4 linked regions of the Caenorhabditis elegans genome follow. The protein of the gene in region 2 interacts with the protein of the main gene of each other region in a pairwise test. Each region holds a gene or a part of one and is shown on either strand. Other genes may lie near its edges. The genes, in order: nhr-31, pha-4, lsl-1 and hlh-27.

The links.
Region 1: the proteins of pha-4 (region 2) and nhr-31 interact in a two-hybrid assay, tested with the Caenorhabditis elegans proteins (one large-scale study listed by BioGRID).
Region 3: the proteins of pha-4 (region 2) and lsl-1 interact in a two-hybrid assay, tested with the Caenorhabditis elegans proteins (one large-scale study listed by BioGRID).
Region 4: the proteins of pha-4 (region 2) and hlh-27 interact in a two-hybrid assay, tested with the Caenorhabditis elegans proteins (one large-scale study listed by BioGRID).

The regions. Positions count from the first base shown.
Region 1 is NC_003282.8:8,022,306-8,032,680, reverse strand, and holds nhr-31 (Nuclear hormone receptor family member nhr-31), read left to right. Parts: upstream 1-3,167; 5' UTR 3,168-3,258; coding exon 3,259-3,365; intron 3,366-4,023; exon of another isoform or gene 4,024-4,170; intron 4,171-6,643; coding exon 6,644-6,921; intron 6,922-7,004; coding exon 7,005-7,159; intron 7,160-7,435; coding exon 7,436-7,917; intron 7,918-8,017; coding exon 8,018-8,291; intron 8,292-8,336; coding exon 8,337-8,510; intron 8,511-8,710; coding exon 8,711-8,860; intron 8,861-9,300; coding exon 9,301-9,432; 3' UTR 9,433-10,026; downstream 10,027-10,375. UniProt on the Caenorhabditis elegans protein: Orphan nuclear receptor.
Region 2 is NC_003283.11:20,750,220-20,760,500, forward strand, and holds pha-4 (Defective pharyngeal development protein 4), read left to right. Parts: upstream 1-2,832; coding exon 2,833-2,874; intron 2,875-5,121; coding exon 5,122-5,361; intron 5,362-6,309; exon of another isoform or gene 6,310-6,518; intron 6,519-6,690; coding exon 6,691-6,756; intron 6,757-6,814; coding exon 6,815-6,941; intron 6,942-7,204; coding exon 7,205-7,625; intron 7,626-7,937; coding exon 7,938-8,364; intron 8,365-8,424; coding exon 8,425-8,588; intron 8,589-9,427; coding exon 9,428-9,461; 3' UTR 9,462-10,098; downstream 10,099-10,281.
Region 3 is NC_003279.8:9,897,746-9,904,278, forward strand, and holds lsl-1 (C2H2-type domain-containing protein), read left to right. Parts: upstream 1-3,533; coding exon 3,534-3,599; intron 3,600-3,646; coding exon 3,647-3,731; intron 3,732-3,778; coding exon 3,779-4,019; intron 4,020-4,255; coding exon 4,256-4,522; intron 4,523-4,685; coding exon 4,686-4,794; intron 4,795-4,844; coding exon 4,845-4,943; intron 4,944-4,991; coding exon 4,992-5,081; 3' UTR 5,082-5,184; downstream 5,185-6,533. Other genes in the region: Mitogen-activated protein kinase kinase kinase mom-4, read right to left, coding at 33-251, 595-976, 1,590-1,716, 2,134-2,213, 2,259-2,357, 2,461-2,627, 2,786-2,854.
Region 4 is NC_003280.10:5,537,501-5,543,317, forward strand, and holds hlh-27 (BHLH domain-containing protein), read right to left. Parts: upstream 2,714-5,817; 5' UTR 2,710-2,713; coding exon 2,552-2,709; intron 2,496-2,551; coding exon 2,265-2,495; intron 2,218-2,264; coding exon 1,800-2,217; 3' UTR 1,575-1,799; downstream 1-1,574. Other genes in the region: C17C3.11 (Protein kinase domain-containing protein), read left to right, coding at 335-499, 546-618, 663-910; C17C3.24 (uncharacterized protein), read right to left, coding at 3,504-3,587, 4,013-4,075.

The sequences.
Region 1 (10,375 bases), on a different chromosome or scaffold from region 2:
AAGGTTCTTTCTTTTCATTTTTTATCACCAAATTCCTGTAAGGAGCCCTAAGAGTCTTAGTACATTAAACCTCCTAAACTTTCGATTCTTAAGGTAACATGCCCTCCCGCCTTCTTTTTCTGAATGAACTGCAAGCTTTCACTTATTTTCAAAGTCATCCTTGTAACTTTCGACCTTCTGCTGCTCTGTACAGCATTCCGGTGATAATGACGCAGGAAAGTCGGCAGTAGGAGAGAGTACAAAATTGTCTTAATTTGATAATGAGCCGTTTGTTGAAAGTATTTATAATTTGTGAAGCAACACTTCAGTAAGTAGATCAACCACAAATCATGCCAAGTTGTCGTTCTTATCAGTTTACGTCTCGATATGTCAAGACAATATGATGGTTGTGGGAGCAAATTGAATTCCGAGAAACTTACAATGATAAGAAATTGTAAGAAATAAGTAATATCAGCTAGTTGGTGTAGTTGAGGTTTGAACTTTTCATATGAACGGGAGGAGAGAGAGATAGAGAAACATTTGGAATTCGGAAGTGATTGTTGGCAATACGTAGGTTAGCAGATTAGTGTTGATAGAAATTGATAGACTGTTGGAAAATTGCTGGCACAATATTAGAAGAGTTTTGAATCAAACTAATCATTTCAAAAATTTATATTTAAAGATGGAGTATTTAGAGCCAGTGGGGAATTTTTTTTAAACCTATGGTGCCAAAATTACCAAATAGTAAAACTTTGAAAATAAATTTAATTTGTTATTCTGTTTTAAACAGTTTTGCCCGCTTTTTTGGAGCTCGTCAAAAAAAGGGGGTTTTGACAATTTCTCCATTGGCAACTGACCTTTATCAACAACGATCGAAATGTTAAAATTCAAGTTCAGTACAGAAACTGAATCCAATTTTTGATATGGAGTCTATTTCTTATTATTCGATACCGTTAGAAATCAAAAAATTAAAAATTTTAATTTTCCATGTTAGGTAGCTTATGAATATTCCTATTGAAATCTGGTGCTCATGCTTTCAACTCTAAAAAAATCCCAACACAAATAGGCCATGTTCTTAACTGTGTGATTCTATTAATAGACCTCCTTGTTTCTCATTTCATGACCGTATCATCCAAAACAATTTCAACCGATAGTCCTTTTTCAATGACCTTTTCATAACATTTAACTGTCCTAATCAAATCGGTAGTTTGTTGTTTTAGTTGTTTAACCAAATGGTTTTGTTGCAACTTCAAGCCTCGTGTACCTCTAAAAACAGATATTTTCATCATATCTTATTATGTCTCCGCCTCCTCCTCAATTTCTCACCAATTTCATCTTCTCCTCCTTCTCAATAGTTTTTCTCCCCACACACAAATTGCGCCCGCCCCCAATTTGCATTTTACTGTTGGTGTCCCTTGATGTGTCCCCCTATCGCCCAAAATCCCGTCGTTGTTACGTTACTATTCAGGCGGAACACACACAGTCACCAGAACCATCATATTTTATTTGTTTCTTTTTTCTTTTCCTTTTCTATTTGAAACCATCAACTTGGGATTTCCCATCTCACGTCTCAATGTTGCAGAATCTTTAGTAAAAGTCGAAACACAAATATATGATTTATTGGCAGGTTATTATCAGTTTGTGCCAATTTATTATCGAAGAACAGTTTGATTAAATCAAGTAAAGTCAGAAAGTCTATTCAACTTTTATTAAGAATTTTAAATATTTTCTATAATCTCCAAGAGTTCGACTCATATTAATGTGTATTCTTTACATTATAACTTTTAAAATTCAATTTTTTTCGCTTAAAAGTTCAAAAATCTGAAAAGAACAATCGGACAATCGTTGTGGTCGTCATAGAGCTGAAATGATCTACGAATAGTTCAAAGTACTGTATAATCTAGTAGCCATATACATTTTCATAATCCTCTCCGTATTTCTTTTCACCAATCCGCTCCGTCATTTTGCATTTTTAACAAGTTTCGGTTATTCCATATTTTCATTTACATAACTTACACGTTTATGTTTCTATTTCATGTTAATTCCATAGTATTCTGGATGGTTCCAAAATAGTTTTGAATTGTATATTGTTTGAATTGGTCCAACTCCGAGAATTACCAAAAGTTTAGAACATTTGAAGAAAACATAACAATGTTTGGTTATTGATAACATAAATTTTGTTGAATCTTCAAGCTTCATTTATTCATATTTTTCCAAATTTCAAAAAAGGATTTCTAAATTTAAAATGTCCACTAAACAATCCTTAATCTCTTGGCAGCTCCTCTTCTTCACACGTGGTTTTTTTCAGTTATCAGAACAATAATCGGTGGTGTGCCAGCTTGCTGAATTGGCTTGGCAAACTTTTTTTGCGTCCTTCTCCGCCACCGTCACTCGTTATCATCAATCACAAATTTTTGGCTGCTGCCACGTTAGACTCTGATTTGTAAGGGGGACATGAACTATTATCAGAAGCTAATTCTTAAATTCTAAAATGAAAATATTAATTTAGAAAAACGAGAAATAGATAATAAATGGAAACCTACTCTCGTTTCTTTCTCCAATAAATCAAATAAAAATAAGAAAAGTGCGACTGGTTGAGTCGTTACCTAACTTTATCAATATTTGATTAGAACTTAACAATGTTTTTGAAATGATCCACTTGGACGTACAAGAGGTAGTACACATTAAACTGACCGTTCGATTTTTTTTCTTAACTTTAATTCACTTAGAGAAAGGTAAAAGGAATCCATATATAAATTACGGGATGTAAATAATATTTTATTATTAAAGAAAGGTTTTAAAACAAACTATGTAGAATCTAGTCAAATAAGTAATTTTCTATTTCTGGAGATAATTTTATTTAAAATTGAATTTTCTTAATTACAGAGAAATTACGTTCAAAATCTCATTAAAAGATGTGATAACCCGACACCTCAATACATTGACCGTTTAATTTCTTTCCGTTTTCATATATATTTTCATCTAAACACATTCATATATTTATATATACAAATGAAACCTAAACCCGTTTAATAATCCGCCTGACCGTCTATCCATCCTGTCCGTCCGTCTATCCTCCTGTCCACCTTCCGACCACAATTACCGTCCCTTTTTCTTTCATTTTCACCGTTTATTTTTCTGAAATCCGTTGCTTTAATATGTATACATTTATATATACTTTTTTCCAGCAACAACAAATAGAAGAACACGAATTTTAATTTCAATTAATTCAAAATTTTTCCCATATCGACGCTGCCGTTTGCAGCACCATCTGTTAAAATGGAACAACTTGATGTCGAAGATTGGGAGTATTGGGGTGATGAATATCTTGAAGAAGAACCAACTTATGCAATAAGACCTGGTACAAGAGTTGTGAAAGTTGAAAGGTTAGTAAATCGATTATTATAACTTTTCTGTGCATTTGAACTTGCATCATAACCCTAACTTTTTTGAGAATTAATATCAAATTATTAAGATTTATTTGCTCAATTGATCAGTTGGAGATCATTTCATAGTTTTTTCTTTAATTTTTTGAACTTGTGAGATAAATAATTTTCAAAAAATTTTGTTTACCGAAGCCGCCAAAAAATTTTATCTCAAATATATAGCTCTAGTGGCTCTTTGATAAAAACATTGAAAATTGAAAAGAAAAGATTTACTTGAAACCCCATTTAATGCTAAATCTAAATTTATTCAAAGTCAATGTGATACAAAATCCCTTCAGGCCTTAAACTTTTACATCTATTCTGATATCAAAGCATTTGATAGTTTCAAAGAAATTACGACATTTTGGCAATCAATCGCTGATCTTCTGACGTTTTCAGATCAATTGACAATGATTTAAATGAACTTTTGAGCAATTATCTCAACTCATTAGAGCCATTAGATAGTTTTCAAGAAGCTGCAAGTACGTGTTCTATTTGCATTTTAATTCTAATTCCCTTTTGTATAGGACAGAGTCTCCCCTTTGTTATCTTATTCTTGCCCCGCCACGACGCAACAACCATTTTTGTGATAATAATTTGCAATTTTATCAATGGCACTACTACCTCTGATCACCACCATCTCACACATACTTTGTAAAAGCGCGTCGATCGTAAATACTACTGTCTTGCCACTTTAGTAGTAACCCTGCCACGTGGAAACTTTGAAATTTGGCGTGGAAATGAGTGAAGAGGCACGTGACAAGATGCGCGCGAAGAATGATCAAATTGCGATAAAAAGGGATAGGTGAATGATCTTTGTGATTTGAATGCTACTTGAGGAATGGTTTACATGGAAATTGAGAAAAAGTAAAATAAAAGGGTTCAAGGACGGTAATCGATCAATTTGAATGAATGAAGAAAGATATGATTGTGATTGATAAAAGGAATTTGCTACAAGAAACCGAGACGAACTGCATCGGTTCATATGAGTCAGATGTGTTCTTCGGTTGAAGAAGATCACTTAATTTAGTGAGAAGTTTCTTTTGAGATTCAATTTTGATTATATTCTTAGAAGTTTTCAGAAAGACAGTTTAGTATTCACTCCACAAGGTTAATAGCTAAAAGTATTCTCTACTCGATTCGAAAAATAATTTTTGCGGGTTTTTACTTTTAGTATAAAATATTTGAATTTGAAAAAATCTCTAGTTAGTAGTTTGTTCGTGTGCAAAGCTTAAACAGGATAATTAAAGTATTTTAAAATATAATCCAGCTTTGATTCTAGATCACAATTCAGCATCTACTTATAGATAAACTAGTATATGTTAACTTCCCCTATCCTATCCAATAACCTTTTCCTTATTCAGCTGTAAACAACAATTGATACAAGTTATCTTATCTCCAAATGCCTCCTCCAATTTTATGAGACCCGTAAAAAAATTCGATAGACAAAAAGCATTACGATTTTATTTATTTTGGTGACATTTTGGATCCTTGTAGTCAGAGGCTCTATCATTTGATCTTCTAATATATCTTTACAAAAAGGCAATACATCCAATTAGCCCAATTAGTCTGCACGTCTTGATATAAATATGACATCATACATTTACTGATTCGAATCGTTGATTTTTAATTTAGAATTAAGGATAAACAGAAAGAAGATTTAAGTGTTTGATTGGAGAATATAGGCATCCTATGCTAAAAGCTATCTCTAATTTATTACTGACATCATCCGTTTCTCGTCTGTGTTTCATGTATCTTTATCACCTTTCCCTCCTCTAGTAGAATGACCTAGAAAGTGATTGGCAAGTCTGGCAAGCCTACAGGGGGACAAGGGTTATAAGATTGATAGGTAATAAATTCTTGTAAAATGAAGAAAAAAAATTCTGTGCGGATAAACGAAGCGGAAATCATCATTGTGTGCGTGCTTTGAGGAAAGGTTCGCGCCTGTTTACTTGCCTTGTTCGGAGGTCGAGATTTCGGACACGAACCACCTCATATTTTTCTCTCGTTTCTTTTCTTCGATTCTCTTTTTTCCATTACTATCTCTCTTCCTTTGGTTCTTATTTTCTCGACAGTCTCTTTTGGTCAGTATAGTTCCTAACTAGGAACTGTTCGAAATCTGGCATGATAATTCTTCAAAAACGCTTATGAAACTTCAAAAACTCGGACTATTTTACTGTGAAAGTATATACCTCCGTTCGTTTCAACAAAAAAAAAGTTAAGCTTTGAAACTATAGAAAAATTAATAATACATCTGCTGCCAGTTGATTTTAAATTGATTCAATCGAAAATAGCCAAGATATCAGGTGCCAAAGTTGAGCAAGATTAATTGAGAAAATAATGTTTTTGGGAGTGCATTTTTTCAAATATACAAGTAGTTTATCAACAAAAAATTATTTTGTACTGGTGTAATTGATTTAAAAAACAAGTAATTGATGTGAAAAACAAGCTTAAATACTGTTCTAAAATAAAGTTACAGGTGTTAAAATGTTTTAAACAAATTATTTACTATTTGTTCAAAACCTTAGTGACATCTAATCTTTATGTTTTCATTTTCTCTTCATCCTCTCAAGCGTCTTCTGTTTTGTATTCTTCTTCTTCTTTATTTCAAATCAGTGTCTCTTTCGCCTTGTTATCAGTAAATCGTCGTCGTCTTCTCCTCCTTCATCTCCTTTTATTTCAATGTCACTCCCACTTAATTTCCCCCATTTTGTAATATTATCATAGAGAGACACCGCCCCATAGGTATTCCCCCAAATACGTCAGTTTTTCCACGTGGAACTTTTTGGTCTTTTTGATGTGTGAACTTTGATAGTTTGCAACAAATTGAAATTATGAATTTTTTTTATCATCAATGGAATTGGTCACTGTTCCAATGATTTTTTAATTGGATTCTTAAATGCCTTTTGGCTAGAAAACTTTGCACATTTAGCTCCGATTAAGCAATGAATTTTTACAATAACAAAAAAGTGCCTATCGACTTTCAATTCCGCTTCCACACACAAAATTTTGCAATTTTGAAACTGAAAAAACCGTATCAAATATAATACTCTTTTGAAAGTTTAATCACTTGAAAAATGTAATTCCGTCTTCACCAAAAAACGTTGTATTTTCCAAGACACAAATTATTGTGGGAAGATCAAGAAATCAAAATTTCAAGGACACACTCTAGTTTTTAAATTTTATTATTTTTGTGTTTGAAACTAATTTTCCCGATCTTTTAACTTTAAAATTTCCAGAGTTCCAATGATGCGAGGAGATTTAAGGACAAGCGGTGCCACGTCATCAAGTGGTCCCGCCACGTCATATATCATCAGGCCCAGTGACAAGCAACCCACAGTTTCTAGTGGTGGATCACAGAATGGAGATTCAGTTTGTGCTGTTTGTGGTGACGGAATTGCAAAATTACATTATGGAGTACTTGCATGTTATGGATGTAAAGGATTCTTTAGAAGAACACTGACTGGAAAATATCGATATGCATGCAGATTCTCAAATAATTGTATTGTTGATAAATGTAAGTTTTTTAAAGAATAAATTCGAATATACTTGACTGAGTATCTTTATAATCAAGAAAATACCTGAAGTTTCGGTTTTCAGTCCAGCGAAATAGTTGCCGATACTGCAGATTTCAACGTTGTATTCAAGCAGGAATGGATCCAAAAGCAGTCAGGCCGGATAGGGATCAGACAGGAAAACAGAAAGTTCCAAGAATTAAGAAGAAGCAAATTGATGAGGAGCTTTTAAATCATATGGTATGTTTTGAAAATGTAGATACACTGAAAAAAAACTGGTGGCAAATTTAAAATTTCCAAAAATTTGACAATTCACAAAAACTTGACATAAAATTATGGAAAATCTCAAAATGATTTGAGTGTTTTTTGTGATGTTTTCTATTTGTTCTGGAATAATCGAGTGAAAAATGTTTATGCATATTCAAACAGTTAAAATTTAGTTTGTGTTGTTGATAAAATCCAGAATAACTTACACTATACATGAATGATGTATAAATTAATACTTGAAATTTTCAGATGCGGTTACAAGGAGATGATTGGTCACGAAAACTTCCTGTCGAGACTCGAATTTTATTAATGCAATTGATGAGTATTGAGGATAAAGTAGTAAAAGGAGATAATAATATGAGTGCACAAAACACTGCAAAAGATCCAAAAAGTATTTCATTACGGGAAATGTTTGAATCAAAACCTGCATTAGATGGTCGACGGATGGAAATTGGTTATGAACCATTTCGAATGGCAAGAACTGAAGAACTTGGAGTAATTGCTCATAGAAGAGCAATTGCAGCTGTTGATTGGGTTGATTCATTAACTGAAATTGCGGATGCAGTTGATACTGAAGATAAAGTTGCATTGGTTAAAAGTTGTTACTCGCCGTTAACTATTTTCAATTTCTCTGCGAGAACTGCTCAGAATACGAAGAATCCGGATATTTTGTGTCTTTGCAGTCATTCATTTGTTCCAAGAAGATTGCCTCCAGAGTTTAATGAGACAAAGTAAGTTGGAATTTTAATTTAATTCCAATTTTTATCAACGCAATAAAAATATATGAAAAATACTATTTAAAATTAAAGAAAATTAATTTGATTTATTCAGTCATCTCTCAAACTTCCTGATTGATCGAACGTTAAATGAATTGGTGGCTCCATTGAGAAAATTAAATCTGAAAGAAGAAGAAATTGTTCCATTAAAAGCAATTATTATTTTAAATCCAAATGCAAAAGGACTATCCGAGCATGCGAGGCACGCGATTTCTGAGTTGAGAGATAAAGTTCAAGATATGCTTTTCCAAATTGTCAAGGAGCTTCATCCAATCTATTCTGCAAGCAGCCGATTTGGAAACTTGTTGCTTCTTCTGCCAACAATTACTGTTAGTCGTCATTACTGTTGCATTCTCTATTTCAAAACATTTCAGACTCTTTCCGGATTGATGTCTGAAAACATGCATTTCTGTCAAGCTCTTGGAGGACGTGCAAGTGGAGATAACTTGTTAGCTGAAATGTTTGGAGATAGAACATTTGATGATCAACTTATCAGCAGCAGCATTAGCCCACCACTATTCGAGAATCCAGCTGAAATTTGTTTAGAGGTCAGTTCACTAAAAATGACTGAAAGATCAAACTTTATATCATTATCTTTTTCTTTTAATTGTCATTAAAACTATAAACTCATTAAAACTATAAAATTTCGGAGTTTCTCGGAGAATTGAAAGTTGAAATTTGCCAACTACCAACTGATAAATGGCAATGATAAGAGTGTGCAAAAATCTAATTTCTTGTTTGTTTGCAGAGTATCTCACCGCCAATGTCTGATCGAAGATTCGTGAGAAGGGTAGATGTGGCAACACAGACAAATGATGATTTGTTATCATCTGGACCATATCTTCCACATTCAAATTCATGTAGCTCCATGCTTAATGCTGGATACTCTCCTCCAATGGTGAGAGAAGTTTGAAAATATTTATGGAATTTGAGGGAAAATATGTTGAAACTTTCTTGGATAGTAAAGATTCTAAATTGAGGGAACTAGCTTCAATGCGTTTTACACAAACATATTCTTAAGAATATACAAGAAGTTTGAAAAACGTTCAAAAAAGCTCAGATAGAGGCTGTGACTATTATCGATTTTTCTTTTATACAAATCGGTACCTATTTTTGCTAACTCGCTCCAAGTCTCTTAACATTTTTTTCTTGGGAATTTCTATTTCTATTATTAACACCGTTTCAAGTTAAGACTAAAGTGGTCGAGCCCAAGAAACTCCTTCCATATGTGGGCTTTTTTGCGTTTTTCAAATGTCTTGTGGCTAGGGAAATGTTTCTTTAAAATTAACATTAAAAAATCCAAATTCTCCAAAATTTATATAATGAGTGAATTTTCAGCTGTCAACATCTCCATTCCCACTTCTCGATGACAATGACAGTGCCTTCCAGAATGACATCAGTTTGACTGAGCTGAATGGTTGTGAAGAGTTCTTCAGTCAACTTATGGATCAACCAATCATTGACAGCTAAAATCTACAGACCAACCCATCTTGCCCGTAATTTCTCATTACTTATATGTGTACATATCTCATTAAAAAAGATCGTTTTCCTATACATACAATATACATACATAGTAAGTTATTGTCTCTTTTTAAACCGATTGTTCTTCTCATTCATTGACATTCAAGAAATGACATACACCCCTCACACATCACCAGAATATTGAATGTATTTTTTGATTAAAAAATTATATGTTCGATTCGGACATTTTATGCATCTAATCGTAAGAATACAAAATTCTCCTCAAAAAATTCAATGAATTCACTTGTTTTGCAAAAGATCAAAAATGTCTCTCTCTTCCTCACTTTTTCCTCTCATTCTCTGTGTCCCTCTCTCTCTTTTCTTCTGTGAAATCCCAGGTATGAAAATAGTCAAAAAAAAAAAGAAATTTATCTGTTTAGTGTGCTGTCCCCACGAAATAGAGTAGATGCATGTATTTCCCCCGGTTGGGATTCCCCATCCTTTTTTTTGTATTATTCTTGATTTCAGCTATATTTGACTCTTGTGCTTTTTTGTTATAAACAGATTTTATATGAAGAGATTTTATTAGAAAATGTTATAAATTGAGCATTATTTCAGAATATATATATATATATATATATATATTATATAGATTATATAGATTATGATTATGATTATGGAGGTTAAAAGTTTGTTACTCTCCGTTGACTATTTTCTTAGCTTAGGCTTAGGCTTAGGCTTAGGCTTAGGCTTAGGCGTGGCTTTGGCTTAGGCTTAGGCGTGGCTTAGGCTTAGGCGTGGCTTACTACTTTAAATACAACTTTTTTTAAATGCGTTTATAAATGTTTTAATCTTGTTCAACTTTCCATCTGAGTTCTTATTCATTAGTATATGCCCCATTAGAACAAAACGGAAATTTGCGGCAAATTTTTTGTGTTAATCGCCGATTTCA
Region 2 (10,281 bases):
TTTGTACTAATTCATATTTTTATTCTCGTGGTTTACCTCTTACAAGTAGTACAAGTAGCCTCCCTTGTCTAACTTGTCGGCTTTTTTCTTTGATGGCAAAGGGCTACCTGAATAAGAGATAGATGGTGACCCTCTTCGTTTCTTAATACTTACAAGTTGAGTTAGACGATTGAAAACTTCTTACATGGCAACCTCAAATTTTAAGTCCTGATGACTTGAGAAAAAATAATTTATATGAACCTGATTCAGACAACCTGGGAAAAACATGTTCTCTCTCTCTCTCTCAAAAAACCCTTTTTAATTGCACCATTTTCATTGTCTTTTCCATATGGCTAGTCTCGTAAGACAAGTTCAACTTTCCACTTTTACACCTGAAACAATCTGAAAATGAGCACCTTTTGTGTATTATTACACCTAAGTGCTCAGCAACAGGGGGTACTCAGTGCACATTTGACCCGGTCAGACAAATAGGTTGTCACCAGAAGTGGATCGATTTTTCTGCTAACAGCTAATCTGGCAAATGCTCCTCTGTTTCTGAATTTATCCATTCCTTCGATCAATTCAGGACTGTGAGCTTATTTCTTTAGCTGTTACTGACAAGTTTAGAAGAAATCGATAGTTTAGATGAAAAAACAACCAGTGAAGTGAAACCCGCCTCTAGTTGTCCAAAAAAGTCACATCTGAAAAAATTAATTTCTAAAACTTCATCTTAAAATAAACCAATTTTTTTTTCATTTTAAATTATTTGTTTCGAATCCGAAATGTTTGAATGTCTTGAAAAATTAAATCCCAAATTTTCCAAATCAGATACTTCCTATATCTATTAAGTTTTCATTGAAAAAATCTGAAAATTAACAGTTTCTGAATAGATATTAAAGTGTTGGGTAGAATGGGAAAGACAAATAATGATTGGATGTAAAGATTTCCAAAAACTTTATTAATGCATTTATATAAAAGTTATAGTCATTTCTTATCAGAAAAACTATACCATGGCCCTTGATAAGAAAGATTAGATTTTTAGCCCGCCAATAGGACTATCATAACTGCGTTCATGTTGTTCACATGCATTATATCTGTAAATCGCACATGGGTGCGACTACTTAACCGGACAATAGGTCTCTATAGGTCTCTGAAAGTGAATACAGAGGTGCTGAGAATAAGATCATACAGCTGGCTGTATTAATATCTGGGAAAATCATAATTTTTTGGATTTTTAAATCAAAAAAAAAAAAGATTGGTAATCCCTATTCCCCTTAACAAAGAAACGATAGCAAAGGCCTAAAGAATAGTGTTACAAAAGATTCTACCGACGATGAGCTATGCGGAAAGCGGAACCATTAAACTTTTGTCAAAAGGTGATAATGGACCATCTAACTTATTGGTCACTTTCCTGTCTTTGTAACTATTATGTTGATAACCCTCATTATCAGTGCCCTTGATGGACGGAGCAACGAGAGGGCAATGCTGTGAACGTCTCTTTTGATACAGTAACTATCCATTGGGAGATTAGTCATTCCTGAACCTAATACTAGTTTCGGATGCTTGGGTGTGGTATGCAATGAAAAATCAATGAGACGGAACTTGAACTCTGTTTTTTGTGAATCGTTGAAATGATTCACCTGTTCCAAGTTATTTTTGGGAGTATTAGCGTCTCATTGATTTAACTTTCTTATTGCTTTTTTTTGATTTACAGTAATTATTATACCAGTATTGAACACTTTAATAGTCTCGCACAGACTTGTTACCAGATGTACCGTATCTATTAATTAAAAAAAATAAATCGGAACGATTTGAAATTTTGAAAATTGTGAAAATTTTAATTTTCGTGCCTAAAACAGCATCAAGCAAATTTTTTGTCAAAGCTTGATTCTTTTTCTCAAGGTTTTCAAAAATTCAAAAGTTAGTACTGTGCCTTCAATAAAACTTGTAGTCTCTTAGTCTTACACACCAACGGACCAATGGACATTGTATGAATGACTGAAACAAAAAATATATTATACTTTTTTGTGATATCTTTTTAAATTGCCCTTTGTTAATACTACCTAATTCTTAACTGCTATTAACTGCTACACAACTAGCCTTATCTTGCTCCCATAACGTATCTAAATGTCGCGCGCGCGGCGTCCGTCCTCTTATGTATCTGTACCAGTCACAAAATTGTGTTGATGAAAAAGGCAAGAAGAAGAAGAATGGCAGTTGAGGGTGAGAAATTTATTTTTCCTATTGTCGTGGGGGAGATTGGACGGTTTCATTTTTTCAAATGAGATATTAAAACATGATTAGGAAGAGTTGAGATTAGCTGATTGTGAGCTTAATGATAGTTTTTGGAGTTCAATGTTAAACTTTCCATTTCTACACCACTATACGATTCTGGGTCACTAAACACCCTTGCTCAGACGGCTTTTCAAAGAAACACCATCTCCCCTCTCCACCACCCTACGCCTGTACAAAATGACTCAAAAGGGCACCGCGCCCGCTCTCGGTCTCCGATCACTCAGTCTCTCTCTCTCCCTCCACAACCCAAAAAGGAGGCTTGCAGAAGTAGAGAAGCAGAGAGTGACGATCGCTGTCTCCAGGTGTCCGTGTCAAACTCTCTTATCAATCAGTGCTCTTTTTCTCTCGTGTTACTGCGTCTCTATGTCCATTCCCTTCTACTCATTCCCATACAGCCCCCTTCTACACCACCATCATCACCATCACACTGTCACAGTGTTGATAACGAAGAGTCGTATCAAGAGACCTAACAAAATCACCCAACCCCAGCCAATATTACCTTATACACCCTATCTGTCCACTGCGTATTTTTTGAAGGACTATCTAATTTGAGATACAATGACATCGCCATCCAGTGATGAGGACATTATTGATATAAGGGTAAGGCACCAGTTATTTTCTGCTTCATGCATCGTTTTTTTTTAAAATTGTTCGGGGCCTCTGAAAACGTTTTTGTTAGCTCCCGGCTGTATGCTCACTTTTTTCGAAATTAAAAACTTACAACCATCTTTGCCACACATGTTTAATCTATTTCTGCAGCTACCTTTCTATTTCTCTTCTGAAACAATCTGAAAATGAGCACCTTCTGTGTATAATAGCACATAAGTGCTCATTAACAGGGGATACTCGATGTCAATATGACCCGGCCAGGATGCTAGGTTGCCACCTATTATTGCTCCATTGGTATTCTGGGAAGATGCACATTTTGAGAATATCATGAACATCTGTGATTTGTCAGAAATAGTTTAGGTTATTGTTCAGCTTACCATATTTTCTTCAAACATCACTACAAACTTTTTTAATGACATTAAATACATTTTTTCTAAGTTCAATAGCTTTTTTGGAATTTGAATGTTAGTCATGAACTCTTAAAATATGCAAGGCTCAAAAAGTGAAATTGTTAAAACTTTCTTTTAAGATTTTTTTATCGATTCTCTTTTCGGAGAGATACAATGAAAATTTGATTCTCACGGTCCACGCACAAAGTTTTTTCTTCGTTTTGCTAGAAAAAATTTCTATGGAACAATTTGAACATGTTTTGAAACACTGTGGAAAATTAAAAGTTTTCATATTTCGATAATAAGAGCTCCCGAAAAAAATGCTCCAAAAACAAAACTCGGGCCATCCAAATATTTTTTGTTTCGATGGATGAAATGCGATATTCACCGAAGGGGCACCACCACCAGTGGCTCCGAAAGCTTCCACCCAAAAATGGGAGCCTCCTAGACGTATATTTTGTGCTCTTTTCTACTCTCTCGCTCCTCCTTCCCATGCAAATATTTGACAATTTCGCAGTGTGTATGTGATATCAGTTTTTGTTTGCCAATTGTTGTTTCTTTTATTTGCCATGTTCGTTTCACACGGTTTCAGTGATAAATATGTGATAAGCTTCAAGACGAACCTAATTTTTTTAGAACAAAATATGACGAAATGGGGTTCAAAAGTTTGGATTTACCATGGAAAATGTTTTTCTCACTTTACAATTACTATTCTTATAGACATGAATTTTCTTTTTCCTAAAAACGTCCCACACTTTTTGATTCTAATATACCTACACCTATTTTGAAATAATGAAATCATATCGAGTGAGTATTGATAAGAAACCTCTTCTTCCGCCTACACTGCTTTCTACTCTATTTTACGATTATTGATTATTTTGGAGAAGTGTATAAGATAATGAGTCAGCGCAGTTAATGCTCAATAATAACAGGTGCTAAAAAATAGGCGGCAGATGGATGATAGTCGTCTCAAGTTTTTTTACGATTTTGAATCACAGCTGGAAAAAACGACTGTTAGGGCGAACATCTGGACCCAGAAATATTCATTCAAAATTTGCTTGAAAGAACCATTCAAAATCGGACTAAAAACGGCGGCAATAGTAAAAGGAAATAGTTTTTAAAAAAAGGCGAATCGGCAAACTGCCGGTGCCGGATATCAGATTTGCCGGAAATGTTTAGAGGGATTTTTTCGTAAGACCGAAACACTTTGCCGGAAATTTTCAATTCCGGCAATTTGCCGATTTGCCGGAAAAATTGTTTGCCGCCCACCCCTGATTGATACCACGCCTCTTTTCAATCAATAATAAAAGTTTTAATAAAAATGTGAGAGGACCCATAGCGGTATTGATAAGGTGGTCTAAGAAAAGAAAAAAAATTAAGATTTCTCTTGTAGATTTTGTTGAAACATTCACATGTTTTTAAAAAAATAGCGATAGTTTTTTTTTTCAACTTCGCCGCCACGTAGTAAAACCCTCGCATCCCGAACCTATTTCCAACCCACTCTCATTTCGTCATCGTTCTTCAGCTCTTGAAATTGCCGTTTGTATCATTTGGTGCTATATATTGCATTTTTAAGAGATTTCCTTGCCGCTTTTCCTCTCATCAACCCTTAAGCTTTCGCCGAAATTGCCCCCGGACATATTTTCAATTTCTTCACATCTGAATCCTCCTCCCTCCTCTATCCCACTTGTATGTAATTCTATACCACACCACCTCATTCTTAGTATCCTAGTACGTGCTAGGCTAGGACACAAAATTGGGTCAAGTGGAAAAGAGATATTTTGGAAAATTCAATGAAAAATTTGAGAACTTTTTAACAATGAAAAAAATTAAACTATTTTGTTTGAAGGTCATCAAAGAGGAGCCAGAGTCGGAACCTGACTCTGAAGCCGAGCCAGCCACAACCACGAATTCAACGGATTCAGAAGATTCTGTGGAACAGGAAAATAAAAAGTTATTGGAAACCGAGAAGAATCGAAAACGCGAGCAGAAACATAAAATGTTGCCAAATGGAACCACTTCTGGGACCTCCGACACGGGAAATCAGGTGCCTGCCACGTCGTCGGCTGCTTCAAGTGTAGACTATACGGTAGGTATGGTGCGGCAAATTTGGTAGGGTGTCAAAAATAAAGTAATAATAATAATCGTCATTTTTAACCCAAGCTTATCAGAATAAAAAACCATATGGCTAGTTGTATAACCGTCTGGCGTATCTTTTTGATGATTAATTTTTTGAGTAGGTAAATGCACTGTGAGTCATTTAGTTTTTTTATTCTTCTGTTTAACTTGTTAGTTTCTGCAATAAGTTTTAAAATTTCAATTCGTTAATCAATTTTTTAAATCGAAAATATTTCTTTGAAATTCAATCCCAGATTCTGAGTATATCACCAAAATTTAGAATTGCGAAATATTTTGAGGTCCAATACGGCTCAACATTAAAATCAACCAAAAATTAAAGAGTGATAACCAAATAGGGATTATGTTCAAGACGCTGTGACACCAAGAAGTTGGCAAAAAAAATTTGATTTTAGCTGAAAATGGGCAAATTTTTTCTAGAACTTTGAACCGCCATAGCTTTTTTTTGAGAAATTTTTAAAACGTCTCATTATGAAATTCGGTAGTTTTGCGTCATTTTGGGTTAAAAAAGCAAAGTCTCAGATTTCGGTACTCCTCATTTAATAAAAATTCGATTTAAAATTGTAGCAGTTAGTTTTTTTTTTGTAAAATTTTTTAGAAAAGTAGCTAAAAAGTAGCAAAGTGATGGTGTCCAGAAGAAAATAGAAATTGTGAGGTCCTCCTACCAAAAGAAGAAGGGGCTGGGCGTCGTGTTGCCCAAGAAGCCAAATATTTATTCAATTTCTATTTATTTATCCGACGACGACGAGGAACCCCCCCCCCCCCCCCCCCCCCCCCCCCCACCGTCCACAAACACACACACAACCAAAATTAGAATTCTTAAAAAAGCACCACGTGGAGATTACAATTAGTGAAACACCTATACTATTTTCAGCCATGAGTCAGTTGAAATCTAAAACAAGGTAAAAATCCGAAATGGGCGGAGTCCGCGACGGGGTTACTGTGGCTAAGCGATAGGCGGTGCGCACGCGCATAGGAGGGCAAGGTAGGCGGAGTCCCGCTGCTCTAGTGCCTAGCCTCTCCTTCACCTCTCTTCTTCAGTACGGGGCGTTCTACTTACCTTTGAGCATCATCTTTTTAAGGAATTTCCAAGGCTCAGGTTCAGAGGTCAAACGGGACTTATTTGTTCATTTCCATGTCTAGCTCCACGTGTGGGGCTTCCGAATTTTCTAAATATTTGTTATTTGTTATAAACACACACACACACACACATTTTGTATTTATCTTTAAATATTTACATAATCCCAGACCTCAAAGCAAACTTTCAATTTTTTTCTTGCAGGCCATGAACGCTCAGGACTATCTGCCGACGTATTCTAATACTACGTTAAACTACCAACCATATCAGGTAAAAAGTTTGACCCTGTTCTCACTAATAAGTCTAATAACATCCATTCTACTTTCAGTACCAGACTGCTGCCAATGGACTTCTGAACTACAACAACTACAGCCAGTATGCCACTGCTAATCAGCTCGGATCGAACTACATCAGCCCAGCCAATTTCATGCAAGGAGGAGGAATTTCACCTCTTGGTAAGTTTTAAAATATCCCTAATTGTCTAAATACTAACTCTCACATACATAAAAACAGTATAGCATATAATTATTTTTAATACGGTTAAGACAATGCATGAATTTATATCTATAGACAATCCTGATTAAATAAATTATTGTGAGATACTCTTCACTCTGAAAGCTCTAAATATTTCCCAAGCACAAAATGAGTATCCATTATTCATTCATACCTACCTTGAGTGGCGCTCTCTATACACAATTTGTAATTTGATCTCATTCAGGTTTTACCACTGGCACCACCGGAGCCACCACAGCGGCCGCTTCCGTGGCCACGTCGTCCGCCTCAGCGGTCATCGGAAGAAGCAATGGACGATCAAGCTCGACGGTTGCTGCATCGCCAGCCGATAGGTCTTATTCTGGTGTAAGCGGAGGGCAAGGCCAAGAACTCACGATTCAGGAATTTGAAACTGTCACGGAAAAGATCAGAAGACATGGAACTTATGGACAATCGAAACCTCCATACTCTTACATTAGCTTAATTACTATGGCAATTCAAAAGTCTAATTCTAGACAATTGACATTGTCTGAAATCTACAATTGGATCATGGATTTGTTCCCTTACTATCAGAACAATCAACAAAGATGGCAAAACTCAATTCGCCACTCCCTCTCCTTCAATGATTGCTTTGTAAAGGTTGCCAGGTAAGAGTCTTGAAAATTAAAGTTTTTTCTGGACACGTTTTGTCCCGATAAAAAACTTCTTATTGTTTTCCCACAAAAACCATCATTTCCTATTATAATCGGAACCTATATAGTTTATCTCAAGGACTACCTTTTCTGCAGCGCCACATTTATTATACCGTGCGCCCAAGGGACACCCATTGATGCGTGAAGCTGTTGAAATGAGAAATTACCGGAGAGAGTGAGGGTGCGCGTTAGTGAAAAGATTTGACAAAAAATCTATATGGATGTTTTCCGGAAACGATTTACAAAGACTAAGTTTATAATTTTCAGGTCCCCTGACAAGCCTGGAAAGGGATCCTTCTGGACTCTTCACGAGCACTGTGGGAATATGTTTGAGAATGGATGCTACCTCCGTAGGCAGAAGAGATTCAAGGTCAAGGAACGTGAGCCATCGAGAAAGAAGAGAAATGCCAACTCCCAACAATTGCATCAACAACAACACATTCCAAAAATGGAAATCAAAGAAGAGGATCCAACATCCATCACGACCACATCATCACTTGGTGCTTATTCTCTGATCCCTCAAATTTCTACAAAGAAGGAGATCAAGGAAGAGCTGAAAGCTGTGCAAGATGCAACTGCAGCTGCTGCCAATCTTGGCCTAATTGACCCATCGGGAACGCCGTCGGCTGTTAATCACAGTCAACCTACTTCAGTGATCTCAAGTGTTGGCACACTAGGAACCACGCAAGCACAGGTAAGATAAAATCTAGCCAGTGAATACAATATTTCAAGCTCCCATTTTGAATTTTTTCAGATGACACTCAATGGTCAATACGCGTCTCCTTACCTCTACAGTTCGGATTTTGCCACAATTCTCCCACAATCCCAGAATTTCCTGAACAACACACTCTACAACACAACGAGCAGTTATCCAGGAATTGACTACACCAACGGAGTATACCAGAATACTCTTTACAGGTATGTCTGATGGTATAACTAACGATGTTTTGTTGACCCCCTACTAATTTTTTTCGTTTGTTTTCCTTGTTTAAAACACATCATTTATTTTCTACGGTCTCATGATTATTTTGAATGTTTTAGAAGTTAACAATAAATTTCAATTTAGTAAAAATTGGAGTCTGGTTCTACTCGGTCATAATAGTAAGATTTAAAAAAGTACTAACGAATTTGATAGTATTGGTTTTTATTATCAAGGAAAGTATTTCAACTTAATCCCGGAATTCTGAATAAAATTTATGTCATTTGAAAGAAGACCTTCTAAATAGGCCCCTGCAAAAATTTTAGCGGCAGAGGATCACTCTGCGCTGCAAAAAAGTCGCTCTGAAAATTTTTCAGTGAAAATTTCAAAACGTTTGAGGCCCGAAAAAATGTTTCAGGTGTAAATTTTTGCACACTTTCAATGAATTATTGGTCTTTAAGGAGCCGGCTAACAATCGGAAATTTTTTTTGGACTGTTTCGATTATTATTTTTTGGACTGTTTCGATTATTGGAATTTTTCAGATTATTAAAAAAAAAAACTTCCAAAAAGCGTCTAGAATACTTGAATGAAGATTTTCAAAATTATCATTTGGAGCAATTTTACGGGCCTCTAAAGTAGTTAAAAAATGCACTGATAGCAATTTCAGATCGACTTTTATCCAGTTCAAAGTGCTCCTCTGCCGCTAAAACTTTTGGGGCTTATTTAGAAGGGTTCTATGAAAGTATGCAAAATGCACCTAAAAATAAAATATAATTAACATGGCCCGTTGCAAAAAAAGTCGATAGAAAGCCTAGTTCCATATTTAAATAATTTCAGCTCCACCAACCCGAACTCGGCCGCCAACCTATAAATCTCCAATTCACACGTTCTCCTTTTATTGGAACAGGGCATAGGATACTGCTGATGCTAATACCGTGAAAAAAATGTTCTATGGATGGAAAATGATTATTTTTTGCGATCCTCCTGCCATTGGTTTCAACCGGCGTGCTTGTGTCACCTCATCGTTGTTGTAAATACTGTTGAGAATTTATATTCATTCTTCGTCCCATGTTCTCTTTTTTTAAACTGAATTTGAATTTATACTGGTTCCCCTCTACCAGATGCCTTAACTTTTACCAGAAATTGATTTTTATTCCTCCATGTGTAAAATCAAAACTTTACCGGTTCCGAATTTAATTCTGAATGTTTTCTGCAATAAGTATACACCTATCAATATCAACATAATATTCCCCAATGTTTTTGATGAATTTATTTTTTCCACAATAGATATGTTCCATTTTTATCCGCAGGGACTTGACTCCTCTTTTCCATGTTTTCCAGGCTCCTTCTACTTTATGACTTCCTAAATGTCTTTGTATCTAACACTATTCACTTCTTTCCAAATTCTCTCCATTTTCTCATGGTATTTTGTTTTGAGTTTTTCATATTTTATTGAATTTGTATTTTCTTTATTATCGTTTTAAATAAAAAATTTGTTAAATCTAAAATATCTGACAATTTTTATTGAAGAAAATATATAGAAAAGTTATGAACAACGATTTGGGAGTATTTGAGCTAGCAGTACTTGAATGAACTACTTTGACATATTGAAACGCTATTTTTCCGTATTTTCAATGTTTTGAAAGATGAAAACACCAAAACGGTGTTAAAATCGAGTTTCAATATGCAAA
Region 3 (6,533 bases), on a different chromosome or scaffold from region 2:
TGTTTTTCAAGCTATCCAAATGAAAATCTTACCGGTTGCACTACAAAAGTCTCACTACGATTTCTTCTATGACCCTGTCCAGGTTGTTGAGGATTTAAAAGTTTTGAAGCAGTTGGTGTTCGATTATTTGATCCTATTCCACTTCCAGAAGAAGTTCCAAGCATTGTTGGTCGATGAGCATGTGGTGGAGGAGTTTCTGCTGGTCCATTTGTTGAAGAATCCGATAAAGGTACGCTCCCATTCGGATATTCCTTTAATGCAAAAAAAATTAGTTTTTTTGGAGTTTGGCGAGATTCATATGTTTCATAGAAAAGCAGGTCTTATCACGAATACAGTAATTCTCAGATAAAATTAAAAATTGTGTTGGAATAACACAATTTTTAAAATTTAAAAACTTTAAAATAAATTCAATAAATACTTTAATTTCTTCGCAATAAAAAATTCGAAAACAAAAAATTTAATTTGCTTTGCAGCACCTTCTTTCGAGATTGTCCAAAAATTTTAATTTTGTATTTTTAGAAATATTTGTTCAATTCAAAAAAATTGTTTTTAACTGGTTGAGTATTTAATTTTTAATTTTTTAAAAGAACTTACATCTTTTAGAAGAGTAAAATATTCTACACATTCGGAAGAAGTCGGTCGAATATCAGCATTATCATTCCAACATTTCTTATAAAATTCAGACAAAATAGGATTACATTCGAGTTCTTGTGGACGTAAGTTAGCTGTCGCAACATTATATAAAAGTCCAGGAACTGAGAGATCTCTTCGATACGGATGATTTCTAGCAATAATTTGCCACATTATAATTCCAATACTGTAGATGTCAGATTTCATATTATACTGTTCACATCGAAATACTTCTGGAGCCATTGTGATTGGAGTTCCACGATTTGAAGTCATTGATTGATGCATTGAGGTAAATGTTCCAAAATCACATAATTTCATTGTTCGATATCGATCAGAGAGAAGCATGCTGAAATTATTTTGATTGACCACAGTAGGTGATTTAATTTTAATTTTGAAAACTGACCGCTAAAGATTTCTGATAATTTATTGAAATTTGAAAAGCTACAAAAATTAAGAAATTCCTCATTTTTACTTTTAAAATGGCTTTTTAAAATTATTTTCATATGATTAGTTCTTCTTGGAGGATATTTTTAAATCCACTTTGAAATATTATTTTTTAAAAATGATTTTTTTTAGATTTTACACATTATTTTGTGGACCAATTTTCAAGGAACTTTTTGCTTAAAAAAATAAAAAAAATAGCTCACACAAAAATGTAGAACCCTTTAAAATTAATTTTTCGAATGTCTAAAAATGGATTCGAAACATTTCTGCTTTTCTGTACTAAATTCACTTAAAATTTCAAAAGATTTTGTTGAATTTTTCTAAAATCTAAATTGTTAAATTGACAGGATCTCCGCCATTAATTCTTTCAACTTTTAAAAAATTTACCTAATATATTAGCTAATAGTAAAGAAAAAAATTTCAATATTTTTCTGTTAATTTTCAAAAATCACTGAAAACATCTTCACATCCAACATATATATTTCTTTCAATAATTTCTGCTATCAAAAACTCACTTTTGAAGTTTCAAATCTCTGTGAACTTGGCTGTTGGAATGGAAAAAATCGACGGCGGATGATAGTTGAAACATCCATGAAGCCACATGATCAATTGTATAATTAATGTGTGTTCTGTCGTAGAGTACTGAAAAAAAAATAGATTTTTCAGCTAAATTTTATTTTGGAGAATTGCCTCATTGAAATGAATTTTTAATTTCGTAAAAAACAGGGTTTGGAGAATTTAAAGCGATTTTTTTAAGACTAAAAATGGAAAAAAAAAACCAAATAGCATTTTTTTTGTTCAAAATTATAGTGAAATTTTTTTTGCCAGATTTTTCGTGTTACAGCGTCCATATATTGATTTTTATTCAGTTTCTTCCATATTTTGCAGTATAATCCGCTTTTTTGATGTATTTTAATATATTTTTAGCTGATAGAAATTTCTGTTCCTATTGCCGAAAAAATGTAGTTTAATTCGCTAAGAAACACGGAATAAACCGACAAAATGTTAAAAAATTTGGCGAAATCGGGGATTTTCACTAAATTTAAATGAAAATCTCACAATCGGCCATGCTTCCACAATCCATATATTCCATAACGACTCCTTGCCCATTCCGAGGGCTTTTGTACAGTCCATAAATTCTGAAAAACTTCTATTTTCAGTATTTTCCATTTATAAAAACATACTTTATAATATTAGGATGATTTCTGAGATCCCACATAACTTTTGCTTCTCTTATAAGAGTTGCCATATGAAGTTGAGAAGAATATTTGATTGCTGCTGGCCTGAAAATAATATTTTGGTGATTTTATTGATTTTTTGTTAACTTTTGATAATTCCTCATGCTTTAAAAGAATTAAATTTAAATTTTTGAAGCTAGAAACGAACCTAAAGTCATCCTGCCTAGTTTTTCTATATCTTGTTTTCTCAACCAATCCATAAGTGCCTTTTCCGAGATAATGACTATTTAAATTATCAATACATTGTGCTTGAATTTCGGGAATATCAATTGTTGAGCACAATCCGGAATCTCGTGTTGTTCGTTGTGTTGGTGTCTGAATTTATTAATTTATTGAGTTTTCAGTGATTTTTATTGATAGTTTTGGTAAAAGCAGGCTTTATACGTCTTCAACTGATTTTTTTAAAAATTAAATACAATACTGTTTTTACAAGAAAACGTTATTTTTCTTTACTCAAAATCCATTAAACTTACAATTGCGGCAGGACTTGGCGAATGACTGGACGAACTACTAGACGGTTTGCTCTGTGACGAATTGTCCATTTCAGAGCCGAAACGGTGAAAAAAATGGTGATGGGCGGCAAAGGACAGGAACTGGCATGTGTTGTGTGTGTATACTCTTTCTCTCGCTCAGTGGAAACGATATAGTGCACAAGTAGAAGAAACTGCAGACGAATAACAAAATAGACCAACGGGACACAGACAGATTTCCGATTTAGACAAGGAAGAATGATGATTTTAAAGAAGTTACTGTAGCATGGCTGAAAATTGTTTTGATAAATACATAAAATTCAATTGCGCAGGTTTTACAGAAAATTCAAAATAAAGAATAATTGAATGTTTTAAGTTCTGAAAAGTAAAGAAATTACACAACGGGGAAGAAGTATGGAAATTTATTCAAATTATATTTGTATAAAAAATACAAAGATCGAAAATGTTCTAATTTTCTGTTCTTCTGTTCTAAACTAATTTTGTTAAATATATAAATAATGTTTTCAGCTTAATTCGAAATTGCAGAAACAATTCTTTGTTGGGGACACTGTGCTCAAAGGCGCATGACGCAACGAAACTTTTGGGTCTCACCACGAAACTGTCAAACACGGTAATCCTAAAATTTAGAGAAGCTGTCAATTAATTTATGAGTTTTGTTTGTCTTAATTTTATGTTTAAACCAACAAATTGTCTGCATTTTTTCTTCAAAAAATTTTATTTTTTACTTCAGATGTCAATTATTGATGACCGAACGGATCCATCTTACGACGGCGAGGACTACGAAGCTTCTATAACGGTATTTTATTTCGATTCTTATTTTTAAGATTATTGAAATGTTTCTAGTTCGGAACCTATCAACAAGAAGAAGTCGCCCCGTTTGCTGTTCATCAGTGTAATGTGTGTAATAAAATGTTTATGAATTATAAAGGTTATTCGCATAAAAATAGAAAGCTGAAATAAAAAAAAACATTTCAGGTCTCCAACAGCACTCTGTGATTCATACCGACACCAAACCATACATCTGCGATGTTTGTGGCCGAGGATTCCGATACAAATCGAATATGTTCGAGCATCGTACCGTTCACACCGGCTATACCCCTTATGTGTGTCCATTTTGTGGAAAACAGTTCCGATTGAAAGGAAACATGAAAAAGCACATGCGAACTCATGTGACAAGCAAAGAAGAGTTGGAAGCTGCTTATAGACCATATTCGAGGTTGGCAATCGGTCGACCCTTCACCTTCACAAATAGTTCGTGGTACGTATATTATACATTGGACGTACAATAAATATGTTATTCACATTGCATTGCACGAATTTTAAGAACTTCGTCCATTATATTATGTGAATAATACATTTATTGTACGTCCACCGTATAATACACGAACCACGAATTATATGTGTTGTACGAGGGGAATTCTGATATCTATCTCGTCTTAAAAATGATTTCAGCAATCGGCGTTCGTCTGGAATTATTCCGTCCGATGCTCTAGTCATTCGTGGGACATCGATGCCCTATTACAATCCAGAGAAGAAGCGATCGGTTCCGAAACTTTTATTGGGTAAAGATCCTTCAAAATGGGTTGATATGATCTGCCGAAACCAGCTTATCCCACTATCTTCATTTGACGATAAAATCATGAGAGCTACAATGCGATTGACTAACTGTCACATGGCATCCGATGTTCTAGAACAAGCTAAACCACTCGAGTTTGAGATGTAAGTTTCAATTCAATTTGAAATTACAGTACTCTTTAAAGGCGCACGCCCTTTTGTATTTTACAAAAAAAGAAGACGTGAAAAGACCAGCGTTTGTATTTTTACCGCAAATTATTATAATTATTGTCTTACTAATATCCCATGCAAAATCTGAAAATTACAGCTTTCGATGCCCAATTTGCAAGTGCGAATGTAGTGGAAGAGAGGATTGTCAACTGCATATGTATGCTTCTCATGATAAGAAAGAAGCTGAAGAACCAAATTATTGCACGGTAAATAATTGAAAATTAAATCTTGAATATCCTGTAAACTTTATTTTCAGAAATGCATGAGAGTATTCGCCGACGTAGATATGTATCGTCAACACCAAAGCTATCATTCTCGTGTTCAATTGATGATTCGTAATAATGAACTTGAAATGGTGAGTTGTTAAATATTGCTAATTCTTAATTGTATTATTTTGTTTCAGGGCTCTCCAGAAGTCGATATCTCTCAAATCTGCTACAGTATGATCACTAACACTGAAAATGAGATGAACATTCTAAAACCATCAGCATAGTTTTTCCCCTGAATTTTCCCCACATCCCTGTCTTTCTAACGCCCGTGTAATTGTTTTGTTCTGTTGCACTTGTTCCTTTCATTTTTATGAAGTTTTCATTTTGAAAATATGAATGGAAGACAAAATACAACAAACGTTGGATGATGGCAAAGTTTTTTAAGGAAGGAAGTAAAAAAGAAGCATAAAGGAGTTGGGAAATTCACAATTAAAGCACAACCAAAGCAGGACAAGGTGAAGAAAAAGACAATTTGGGGGAATGTTTGAATGGTAAAGCTGTGATAATGAGAGAAGATGATTTCTGATTTTAAGACATTTAATACACAGGGTTGGGGATATCAATGATACTTCTTTTAATTTGGAAAAACAACCAATTTCAGATTCTAGAATATAAATTACATTTATGAGACACACGTTTTGAATATCCCTCTCGCGGGGGAACAAAAAAAGATTTGAGGGAATCGGGAACACACAGAGAAAGAGCAGATGTTTTCGGAGAAAGCCGGGAAAAAAAAGTATGAAGAAGTGAGAGACGCAGACGAAAAGCAGTGCAGGTGGCTCATTAAAGAGGTAAACGAGTTGAGGTGGTGCATATTGATACTTTAAGATTATATGTTTGACGGATTTGAAGGTGTTTTGAAAACTAGAAAGCGGGGAGTTTTTTGAATTTGAAATGGAAGAGAAAGAGGAGAAAACTAGGCCAGCATTTGCTTTGTGGATTTACGAGCGATTTAACTATTACGGGAGCACAATATTCTGAGAAAACATGTTTGACGTGCAAAATATTTCGTAGTGAAAACTACAGTAATTCTTTAAATGACTACTGTAGCTCTTATGTCGATTTCCGGGCTCGATTTTTCTTTCAATATTCGAAAAAAAAATAATTCAAAAAATCGAGCCCGTAAATCGACACAAGAGCTACAGTAGTCATTTTAAGAATTACTGCAGTTTTCGCTACGAGATATGTTGCGCGGCTCAGAATGTTGTAATCTCGTAATATATAAGTAGTTTCCAATGTTTCTTGCAAGTTTTAGCGTTAAAATTGCATCAATTTCAGAAAATAGCCTTAAGTACACATCGGAATATTATTTGCAAGTTTCATTTTTCAATTTCCTCTTCCATTTCAATATTCTTTAGCAAAAAAAAGGTCGAGTGAACAATAAATAAACTAATTGTAAGGACCGTTTCCCCCTAACATATTGTCCAATTCACTTGATTGAGTATTTCTAAGAAAGGTCAATGACCGAAAAGTAACTGGCAAACTCTCAACTACTGTCATTTTTGGTGCAAACGGTGCAATCTGGCGACATCTGCCACTTCTTAATACGGTCTCTCTCTCTCTTCGCTCCACGATGCTTGATTGATGATGACCACCGGGCTGCTGGTGCTGCCCGAGAGAGCACACAGATTTGAGAGGAGTAGAGATAAATCAGTTTGAAAGAATAGATTGAGGAG
Region 4 (5,817 bases), on a different chromosome or scaffold from region 2:
GTTATGGGCGTGAGTTTCCCCTTTTTATAGGAAATTTTGGTTGAGAATGTAAAGGGGATATTAGAATTGTGTTAATTTATATTATATATATATATATATATATCAGAATAAAAACAATTTGAAATAATTTTGAATCAACAGTCCGGATTTTTGAAAATCTCCTTTTCTAGTTTATGAAGTTAATTTTATTGCAGAAAAAAACAAGAAAAACTTTTTTTGAACGTGGACTTCAAAGATGTGATAACGTTGTGTTTAAAAAAGTTCGTCAACGACAAGATCAATATTTTCCGAAAATCCATAAATAATTTATTTTCAAATCTATTCTCGTCACGAGATGACGGAGGCTCCCGTTATTCAGCTAAGTATTGACTATAGAGTTCGTCGTTACAAGGTTTTCAAGAAACTTGAAGATGGTGAATTCGGAGCAGTGTATGCTGTGCGAGATGATGCTGGAGAGGAGCATGTTTTGAAGGCTCAGTTGAATACCAAGGAGATATATGTGAGTTAATACTGTCGAACCATTAAGCAGAAAATGTTATTTTTAGTCGCTGAGAATTGAGCTTTGTGTGATGACAAAGGTATCTGAGAAGTCGCCCAGCCACATGCCTACTCTCATTGGTATGTAGTACACTTTTGTAGGTAACCGTAACCCCATCTTTCAGACAAGGGACGCCATGACAACTTTAACTATATTGTCATGAAGCTTCTTGGGAAATCCCTGCAAGATGCTATAAAGACTGGGCCTGATGGTCATTTGACATTTGGGCTCTGCGATTGGGGCATCGTTTCAATGCTTGGAAGCATTGGAAGATTTGCATTGGAGTGGGTTCTTGGACAGAGATGTGAACCCTGGCAACTTCTATCTCGGAAGAGCAAGCCAAGGCGAGCTTCGCAACATTTTTGTTCTTAGATTCGGATGTTGCCGAAAGTATGTAGATCGCGAAAATTTGATGCTCGAGCCAAGAAAAACTGTGCCATTTCGTGGAAGCCCTCGATATGCACCGCTTGCATCACATAATACGGCGGAACATGGACTGAAGGACGATTTGGAAAGCTGGCTAGTTTAATCAATTTAAGAACTAGTCATTTATGTGATATATTCTGTAAAGATGCCAGAAGGCCAGATTGGGTTATCACTTAGAATTGAAAATAAGAATAATAGTTTTTATTTGAGAAAATGTGTTTTTCTAGGTTCTACATGCTCGTCGATTTCACCAATGCAGCTCTTCCCTGGAAAAATGTAAATGAGATTGGCGAGATTGGTGCGATGAAGAAGAATTCCCGCTTCCAACCGATCATGGGCCAATTCCTTGCTGGCTGCCCAGATGAATTTCGCTTGATTATGAAGTGAGTCTCTACCAAAGCTGATTTATTCGTAATTTTCCATTTCCAGCTATATCGACAGTCTTTCGTTCTTCAAGGAGCCCGATTATGAGATGATCTATACAACACTGCAAAAAGTGATGCTAGACAAGGACATTGAAGAGTTTCCGTATGACTGGGAGATGGAATTTGGTGTGGACTAATGGAACTTTGATTATACATACTTGTCTTGCTTGTATTCTGGCTAACAAATTTTACCGAATAAACATTCATTTTCAAACAGAATAATTTAGACAAGACTATCACGTGAGTAGTAAAAAATCTTCAAAAATAGATTGCGACGCGATGGGATGAAAAAGTTCGGGAATATTGGCCATAGAAAGATAAAAAAATGAATCAAAAACGCAATATAGACAATGAAGATTTTCGAAAAATTGCTCAGAAACTAATTGTAAGATCTGGAAGAACTTGATAGACTAGTTACTAATATCGACGGTTTCTTCATTTTCTTCCTCGTCACTAGTTTCTGGTGTTAAGATTTGAAGTGATGGAAGAATGAATCGGAGGGGAGCAGAAAATATTGATGGAACGGTGTTGTAGTTTGACAAGACATTGAACTGAGTAGTTGGGATCATTGGAATACATGGAAATGTGAGCAATGGAGAAGTAGATGTTGGGGATTCTTGAACTTCTTGAAACGTCAATCTTGGGAAGAGATCCTTCACTTCCATTCGTGTTTTTGGCTTTTCATTCTCTTTGTTCTCACAAGTAGCAGTTGATTTTCCAGCTAAAAGAGGAAGTATTTGGGGAATTGTTTCTGGATACAGAAGATCGGAATTGTGTTTAATGTAATCAATGATGATTTCTAGAATTGTGATCCGTTCAAGTTTTAATCTGAAAATAATTTTTTGAATTTTTATTAGCCATAATGAAACTCTTACCGTTGCTCGTAACTTCCCATTTGTTTGTTCAAAATGAAGAATTTCAATTCAGCATAACAGTCATCTTGTTTCTTTCTTCGAATCTTTTCACGTTCAGTCTTCACTTTTCTTCTTTCGGATTCAGTATCAAACTTCCGTCTTGTAGATTCGGAGAGGTCATTCGATGAGAAATTAGATTCCAGATTAACTCCAGTCACAAGTTTCACAATTCGGAAGAGAACTACTTCTTGTCTAAAAAATGAATTAGTTTAATAACTATTTTAAGCTAACAGAGTATTTAAACTTACGATATATGTTCTTCTTCTGATTTTTGAACAATCGTCTTGCATTCGTTAATCAACTCGTTTGTAATATTTCTTCTTTTCCGTTCAGATCCTGATTTTGGAGTTTGATTGTATGGGACGGAACGATAATCGCTCATTGAAGATGGGATAACTTTTGGCATCTGAAATTTGATAAGTTTTAATCTTTTTAAAATCAAGAAGAAATCTAGAATTTATAAAATTTCAAGATGAGCCGTTAAATAAAAGGAATAATTGTGACAAAACAGAAAAATGAGACCAAGAAAGCAGCACAAATTGATTTAGTTTAGTGAGATAACTCGTGCTGTTTTTCTAGAAGTATACAGTTCACTGAATGCTTTAAAAGTAATTGATCAAAATCAGTACACTTTCCTGATGTTACAATTATCAAAAAGTATACTAAACCAGCAGACCAGTGATCCACCAAGAAAGTAAATGAACAATGAATAAATGGTTACCTTTTATAGTTCCATTATTGTTCAGAGGGTGGAGCTTTGTATCAAGCGTTTGGAGCCATGGGAATTATTCTGAAATCTCTATTTTTACAGTCCCCATCATGGGTTCCCATGGTTCATCAGTGAGGTTCTCATGAGAACGAGGCTGGACATCTCCAGTTTTGTCTTGGGACCATGCGAAACTAGACGACTGGATATCGATTGGGTACTGCCTGGGAAATTCCGGCTGAGACTGTGAATTAGGATATTGGCACTGTGTTAATTTATTCTATAAGTTTATAGTAGTATCAACTGTACCGGATGAACAACATTTTAAACAGAAATATCTCGAAAAGAAATAAAATAGGAGAAAACAACTGAAATTATTTTGCCAGTAATTCTAAACAAGATTGATTTGCAACAGTTTCTTCGAACATAATTTTTATATAAGAAGATATCTATTTTGAATTGACAGTGGTCAACAGAATAAATATGGAGAACAATCATATTGGAAGAGCTGGAATGCAAAAGTGAGAGGAAATTGATTTGAGCTCTTCGATTATGGACGCAAAAATGGCATGGCGTGACTGAAACGACATAAGTTTGAAAGTTGATAGGACGATTTATAATATAAATTGTGTTCCCTGTTTGCTCCAATGATATGAATTTCGGCAACAGTATCACTACAGTATCACGACAGTAGCCTTATAATAACCCGCCAATAAATTCATTTGATCTTCGCTCATGATCTCAGAAACGATTTTTAGTTTTATTACAATTATCATACAGTATCATGATAACAACGGAGATTGCCCGTGGAATAGTTCAGCTACTGGAATATTGGCTACAGTAATCCTATGGCAGTAGCTATGACCTTAAATATACTCACATCTGTCTCCCAAATTACAATTTTTTATTTTTTATTCTTTAATATATTAAGCCATAAATTTCATCGTACAACGACGGAAGACAATTTTTGGAAACTTGCCGAGTCAAAATTATCATGACTCACCTTGGAGATCGTGGAGGAAGCCAGATCATTTGTGGCAATCTCTTCCTGAAGGCGGGTTTCCATAATTCTCACAGATGTCTTGAAACGGTCCTAGGCATTCTAGAAATGTAATGTGATGACGAATAAATGTATATTTCTAACCTTCCGGATTATCTCCAAAAGAGCCTTTGCTCGGTTATATGTGGCACGGTCGACGCCATTGGCGGTCTGAATATAAAAGATGAGTTGAATTTCAGAACGAGATTGAAATACTCACCTTTTTCATTTCACTTCTTGCCTCTTTTTGAAGCTTTCTGCGGTCCATTTTGTAGCAGATGTGAAGGTAAGATCTGAAACTATGAGCAATAAATTAATAGCGAAGTCAAGTCAAGTGATTGAATGTAATTGGTGAGGAAATTAGTATTCAATTTCAATCAAAATCACTGAAACTGATATTTCCGTTTTCAGTGTTCCAAAGTGTACCAATTGCCAACTAAAAGGTTATGTGAACAAACTTTCAAATCAATAAGCCTCCTCAGCTTCAACAAAAAGGGACAAATTTTATCAAAAACTATTAATAACGAAAAATCCCTGACTCATGGTGCATGGCTCTTTCTCAATTCTGATTTTTTGTTGTCTCCCCCCGTTGCAACGATGATAATTTCTGTCTTATTTCTGTATACAGGGTTGCCTTTGGCCTGAATGTTTTTGTCCTTTGTTTTAGGGAAATGAGTTCTGAAACTTTTTTTGTTGGTAATACTTCCAATACTTTGTTAGGTTCAAAAAGTGGTTCTAAAAATTTTGTTTTACGCCATCCATTATTTTTAAAATAACCTGAACTCGTTTTGGTTACTCTGAAGTAACTTAAAAATCGCAATTGTTAATAGAGATAACAAGATCTATAAAAATCGCAGCTTTAGTCTGATTGATCCGACCACAAGGGGCTTCCACGAAAATTGATAAACCATTTCGACAAAAAAATGAGTCATGTTTTGACTGTTACTGACCAACAATTATCGCTACTATTTCTCTTAAAAACAATTGAAAATCATTTAAAAAAAAACAGTTCATTTGTCTCTTTCTGTTTTGCATTTACGTTTTCCAACATTAAATTGACGACATCTGTAATACTCATAAAAATCGTCAATGCACACATTTTTCTCTCAGTTTTTCCTTTTAGCTACAGGACTTTTCGTTTTTTTTTCATTCACTAATTGAACAAGAGAATCCCTCTTGAAGGGATGACTTTGATAATCAATTCGTACACTCAGACAGGTGCGAGTCACGGCTAACCGACTCAAAATCACTGCTAATTAGCTTTTTGACCAGGGATAGAGTCAACCTGGCTAGCTCTGGTTTTTTGCTAATTAGCAATGGTTTGCTAATTAGCCATGGTTTTAAGCTAATTAGTTCTGGTTTTTTGGCGTTTTGCTAATTAGCAGTGATTTTGAGTCGGTTAGCCGTGACTCGCACCTGTCTGAGCATGTTTGGTTTAAAAAAATATTTAAATTTGTTTAGAAAATGTTTTCAATATTTTTTTCAGCAGAATTTTACAGATTTACAATCTTCTTTCATACTCAGATGCAACAAATCTCGAGTTTGACGTCAGGTAAAACTTTCAATTTCTTCTCTGACACTATATGTAAGTTAGTTTTCCATTTATTTCTTGAAGTTTTTCTATTTAAAAAAACTAGCAAACTTTTGTTTTTCAACTTCCGTCGTGTTTGAGCCATTTGTTAAATAATTAATAACAAATTTTTCACCCAATTTTTCCTCTAATAATAATATTGTTTTACTTTGACAAACGGTGGTATTCTTTTGAGTAT